Macaca mulatta: one gene and its partner. The protein of the gene in region 2 purifies or fractionates together with the protein of the main gene of each other region. This does not show direct contact. Links are inferred from orthologs where the notes say so. Each region holds a gene or a part of one and is shown on either strand. Other genes may lie near its edges.

The links.
Region 1: the proteins of H1-1 (region 2) and SF3B1 purify together in Homo sapiens (affinity purification with mass spectrometry; 3 studies listed by BioGRID and IntAct, counting the BioPlex papers as one, with this or other methods). This does not show direct contact. The link is inferred for Macaca mulatta from reciprocal best matches to the Homo sapiens genes H1-1 and SF3B1.

The regions. Positions count from the first base shown.
Region 1 is NC_133417.1:102,341,150-102,344,809, reverse strand, and holds part of SF3B1 (splicing factor 3B subunit 1), read left to right. Parts: intron 1-73; coding exon 74-271; intron 272-369; coding exon 370-471; intron 472-696; exon of another isoform or gene 697-832; intron 833-1,777; coding exon 1,778-1,957; intron 1,958-2,511; coding exon 2,512-2,598; intron 2,599-2,724; coding exon 2,725-2,995; intron 2,996-3,413; coding exon 3,414-3,559; intron 3,560-3,654; coding exon 3,655-3,660. UniProt on the Homo sapiens protein: Component of the 17S U2 SnRNP complex of the spliceosome, a large ribonucleoprotein complex that removes introns from transcribed pre-mRNAs.
Region 2 is NC_133409.1:157,091,691-157,094,172, forward strand, and holds H1-1 (histone H1.1), read left to right. Parts: upstream 1-1,243; coding exon 1,244-1,891; downstream 1,892-2,482. UniProt on the Homo sapiens protein: Histone H1 protein binds to linker DNA between nucleosomes forming the macromolecular structure known as the chromatin fiber. Histones H1 are necessary for the condensation of nucleosome chains into higher-order structured fibers.

The DNA.
Region 1 (3,660 bases), on a different chromosome or scaffold from region 2:
TAAGTGCAAATATTGATCCTTATGCTGTTTTTTAAGTTAAGAAAATCCTAAACTGTCTTATAACTTTTATCAGGTACTTCCTCCTCCAGCTGGTTATGTTCCTATTCGAACTCCAGCTCGAAAACTGACAGCTACTCCAACACCTTTGGGTGGTATGACTGGTTTCCACATGCAAACTGAAGATCGAACTATGAAAAGTGTTAATGATCAGCCATCTGGAAATCTTCCATTTTTAAAGCCTGATGATATTCAGTACTTTGATAAACTATTGGTAAGTGATACTAGCAGAAATAAACTATTACATTTTGTTCCAGAATTATAAATCATAACATTTCAACTTCCCTTAACATTTTTTTCTTTTTACTGTAGGTTGATGTTGATGAATCAACACTTAGTCCAGAAGAGCAAAAAGAGAGAAAAATAATGAAGTTGCTTTTAAAAATTAAGAATGGAACACCACCAATGAGAAAGGTAAGTCTCAGTTTGTTAAATTGTCATGTTTGTTGCTTATTTATTTAAATAAAAAAAAATTTTTTGTAGTTTTTGTAGAGACAGGGTTTTGCCATGTTGCCTAGGCTGGTCTCAAGTGATCTTTCTGCCTTGGCCTACCTCCTAGAGTGCTGGGATTACAGGTGTGAGGCACTGCACCTGGCCAAGTTTATATTTTTAAAAATGTTTTTAATTTTTTCACCAGGAAAAGTAGGCCACAAAATAGTACTGAACTATTGGTATAACCCGCTGGAGTGCGGTCTTTCCTTTACTCTTCCAAGTAGCCCAAATTGGTAAAGGTTATTTAGAAAGCTTTCCCCACAAAAAAATTAGCTTTTGGTTGTGTTATATTTTTGTGTTTAGGAATTTATAATTACTTTCTTCATCTTTATCAAGGACATAGCATGATGGAAAAAAATTAGTGTGAAGGATTTAACTTTTTTGCTTGTTTTTGTTATTAATATTATATATATATGTTTGAGACAGGGTCTTGCTGTCTTGCCCGGGCTGGAGTGCAGTGGTGCAGTCTTGGCTCACTGCAACCTCTGCCTGTTGGGTTCAAGCAATTCTCCTGCCTCAGCCTCCCAAGTAGGTGGGACTACAGGTGTGCACCACCACGCCCTGCTAATTTCTATATTTTTAGTAGAGACGGGGTTTCACCATGTTGGCCAGGCTGGTCTTGAACTCCTGACCTCAAATGATTAACCTGCCTCAGCCTCCCAAAGTGCTGGGATTACAGGCGTGAGCCACCGTGCCCAGCCGTTTGTTTTTATTATTTAAATACTCCAGGGCTCAAGAGATCCTCCTGCCTCAGTCTCCCAAAGTGTTGGGATTACAGGTGTGAGCCACCATGCCCAGCTGGAGTTAGCACAGAATTCTTTGGTTAAAAAAGCTAATAAAGATGCTGAAATACGAGATTCTCCATTTCTCAAGGCCTTTAAAATATGCTTAAAGCTTGAAGATAATTAGTGAAATTAGTGAGGGATTATATTAACACTATATGTGCCTTGGAAATGGAAGATACTTTAGGGGAAGTGAAGGCTAATTTGGTACATACCTCTGTGGTTCTTTTGTTCTATTAAATTACTCTTTTGAATTAACATAAAATATCTATCACAGTAGTTGAAATTCCAGAGTAATTTGGATGGAAATGCACTCATGCTGTCTGTGTAAAATGTGTGTAAAAGTAAACACATATTAAATTATGGAAAATCTTCTTTGAGTAATTTGCTCATTCAAAATGCTTGATTGTAAAGAAACCACACCTATACTCTGCTCTTTTTCCCAGGCTGCATTGCGTCAGATTACTGATAAAGCTCGTGAATTTGGAGCTGGTCCTTTGTTTAATCAGATTCTTCCTCTACTGATGTCTCCTACACTTGAGGATCAAGAGCGTCATTTACTTGTGAAAGTTATTGATAGGATACTATACAAACTTGATGACTTAGTTCGTCCATATGTGCATAAGGTTTGTTCTTAATAGTGTTTCTGATAGTTTTAATATTTTAACTTTTTCAGTTAATCAATGTTAAATTTACATATCCCTCTAGACCTTTTTCTTTGCACAAGTACACATCATACATGTACAAATACAGTTTTATACAGATGTACAGACATTAGTTTTTATCATCTTTGCCATAAGACATTCATATTATTTAATATTTTCATTTGCTTTTATTGAGATTAGATTAGGAGGAGAACATATGTGATTCTGTACTGTGCCAGTTAGTATTAAGAACCAGTTTTTTCACCGATGTTAATTATGGTGCAGTATGTTCATGGGGCATATAAGTTATTTCTTTAAAAAATATTGAATATTAGTGTGTCACTAATAGCTCTCTTAAATTTTCATCTCTATCTGGAGTTTGAACTTGTGTAATTAAAATTCTTAAACAATTTGTCCCTTGATTAACGAAAATCCTGATAAATCTAAATTTCTTGTATATGTTTAATTCTGTACATGAGTATTTCATCAGTAATTGATGTGAAAGTGTAGCTGCTTCTCTTTTTTCTCTTTTTCAGATCCTTGTGGTCATTGAACCACTATTGATTGATGAAGATTACTATGCTAGAGTGGAAGGCCGAGAGATCATTTCTAATTTGGCAAAGGTATTTACATTTAATTTCTAGAGAAGACAATTTATTTCTGTTTATGGAATTATTTGATTATGGAAGGAAATGGTTGAAGATTAATATTACCAACTCATGACTGTCCTTTCTTTGTTTACTTTTTAGGCTGCTGGTCTGGCTACTATGATCTCTACCATGAGACCTGATATAGATAACATGGATGAGTATGTCCGTAACACAACAGCTAGAGCTTTTGCTGTTGTAGCCTCTGCCCTGGGCATTCCTTCTTTATTGCCTTTCTTAAAAGCTGTGTGCAAAAGCAAGAAGTCCTGGCAAGCGAGACACACTGGTATTAAGATTGTACAACAGATAGCTATTCTTATGGGCTGTGCCATCTTGCCACATCTTAGAAGTTTAGTTGAAATCATTGAACATGGTAAGTTGTAATGTAACTTTTTTTTTTTTTTTCTCTTTAAGAGACAGGGTCTTACTATGTTGCCCAGACTGGACTCAAACTTTTGGGCTCAAGTGATCCTCCTGCTCAGCCTTCTGAGTAGTTGGGACTAGAAGTACACACACAGCCTGTCTACTTTTAATAGACAGCTGTCCTAAAATTTGGGCTACTGATTTGGGGAGATAAATGGAAAGGCATAACTGTACAAACTATAGATTTTATGATGGGTTTGTAATATTATCTGCTAACAGGCTATGGTTCATATTTTGCTTTTACCTAATTTTAATGTGAACGTATTCTGTAGTTTGGCTAAATAGTTGATATATTGTGAGAATCTGGATGACATTGTGTGACTTAGGTAATGTTGGGGCATAGTTAAAACCTGTGTTTGGTTTTGTAGGTCTTGTGGATGAGCAGCAGAAAGTTCGGACCATCAGTGCTTTGGCCATTGCTGCCTTGGCTGAAGCAGCAACTCCTTATGGTATCGAATCTTTTGATTCTGTGTTAAAGCCTTTATGGAAGGGTATCCGCCAACACAGAGGAAAGGTAAATCCACCAATTACCTTTTGATTTATCTTCATTAAAGTTAAGGTGACATAAATCTAAATTACTAAAGTACATATATTTTTATTTAAAAATAGGGTTTG
Region 2 (2,482 bases):
CACAGTTCGGACTTATTTAAAAACTACAACAGCACGAACGGAAATAGACCGCATTCCCTCACTCTCCGCTGTGTTAGGGGGTTATCCAGAATAGGATTGTAGAAGTGGATGTCGATTTAATAGTTTTTTTTGTTCTCCCGTTAGCTGAGTCTCTGATTGGCAATGTGAGATCGTTTTAGCTTATTGATAATTTGAAATGCTCTTAACAGCCACAAACAAGCTAAAGAGAGGTTACCATAAAATCTTATCCCCAGGGTGTGCTTACACTTACCGTTTGTTTTCACACTAAGGAGACTTAACTCCCCAGCAGAATGCCTGTCGGGGAACCAGTTTCTTGGACCCAGCATTTAACGCCTTTCGCAGGTTTGTGAGGCCCATAAATCTTTGTTGAATAAAACAATGAGTTCACCATGTCATGGTGCTCTCATTGCATGTGCTGACATGGAACACAGGTTGTAAACCTTAACACCCATTTGGGGCATGTTGTATGGATGAAAAGGGCATTGGAAATTCCTGAAGTGCATCCCACATTGGACTGTGGAAGTAAGTTACAAGTGCAGAAACGTTTCCACACTTGCAGTTTGAGTATTAATTGCAGCGTTAGTGAATTCTGGTGTTGTCTACGATTCATTCTTCTTTGACGTGAAAGGTATTCGCGAGACACATCGCTCTAAAACATTGCCAGAAAATGTAATCGAGTTGATGACTACTAGCCCTAACACGGCCTAAAACCCGCACTTTCCTCTTCCTCCCCAACTATTCAAACACTGTATTTTACATTTCTTGCAAATTAAAAACTAACATATCTGGCAACGGACCTCTAAAACTTTCTAATAAAACTCCCTGGATGCTTGTGGGGCTGCATTTGCAAACCGCTCCCCATCAACCTACTCCCTAAAACAGAGCTGCTTTTTGAGAGACAAGCGGCACCCTCTGATGTTACTAGGTGGCAGTCGGCCTACAATTTCCTTCACAATGAGGCAATCGGAGCGGCTTTTTCGGTGTGTTTGCTTGCGTTGAGGGGAGCGGGACCATAGGCCCTAGAGGCCCCCAGGTGCTCTCTGAGACTGGGGGAAACCCTCTGCAGAGCGCAGGGGGCGCTAGGGTGCGAGGGGCGGGCACTGACGGGCACCAATCACTGCGCAGTCCCACCCTATAAATAGGCTGAGTCGGGGCCTTTTTTTTCTCGCATCCTGCTTGGTCAGGTTTATACCAGTTTACTTGGTGTGCTGTATTAGTCACCATGTCCGAAACGGCGCCTCCCGCTCCCGCCGCTTCTGCTGCTCCTGAGAAACCTTCAGCTAGCAGGAAGGCAAAGAAACCTGCTAAGGTTGCGGTGGCCACTAAGAAAAAGCCTGCTGGCCCTTCCGTGTCAGAGCTGATCGTGCAGGCTGCTTCCTCCTCTAAGGAGCGTGGTGGTGTGTCGTTGGCTGCTCTTAAAAAGGCGCTGGCGGCCGCAGGCTACGATGTGGAGAAGAACAACAGCCGCATTAAGCTGGGTATTAAGAGCCTGGTAAGCAAGGGAACGTTGGTGCAGACGAAGGGCACCGGCGCCTCGGGTTCCTTCAAACTCAACAAGAAGGCATCCTCCGTGGAAACCAAGCCCGGCGCTTCAAGGGTGGCTGCAAAAACCAAGGCAACGGGTGCGTCTAAAAAGCCCAAAAAGGCCACGGGGGTTAGCAAAAAGAACGTCAAGACTCCAAAAAATGCTAAAAAGTCTGCGGCAACAAGGAAATCCTCTAAGAGTCCCAAAAAACCCAAAGCTGTAAAACCCAAGAAAGTAGCTAAAAGCCCTGCTAAAACTAAGGCTATAAAACCCAAGGCGGCCAAGGCTAAGGTGACGAAGCCAAAGACTGCCAAACCCAAGAAAGCGGCACCCAAGAAAAAGTAAATTCGGTTGGAAACTTTACTAACCCAACGGCTCTTTTAAGAGCCACCTACACACTTCGGGAAAAGAGCTGTAGTACACAGATGAAATTCCCCCAAGCAAATGCAATACGCCCTCATTTATATTAGAATCACTTGGAGAGTCAATAGGAACTTTAACATAGGTTGAGTAGTAAATTCTTGCCAGATGAGGCTATCAAAGATAGCAAGGTGAATTCAAATGCACCGAGTTAAAGTCGAATTTTAGATCACCTGTTTTGCTTTTTTTTTTTTTTTTTTTTAAGTAGCCCGAAGTCCCGCATCTCACGACCCCAAGCTAATTAGTCATAACTGTAACGAACCAAGGTTGAAGCCTAGTCCCAGGCTTGAGGCTTTTTTATTATGCAAGGTTAAAGTGCGGACATTGCGTTCTTGGGTCAATATTGCTAAAGTAGCCTTTTCCGAAATTGGGTGGTCCTAAGAAATGCTTCTGGGATAGTAAGCAAAATTCATGGCTTAATCACGCCCTCTCCGCAGCAGTGGCTAGAGAGGTGTCTGTCCTTGGGAATGACGGTGACCCTTCTGGCGTGACTGGCGCCCACGTTGGCGTCCTCTG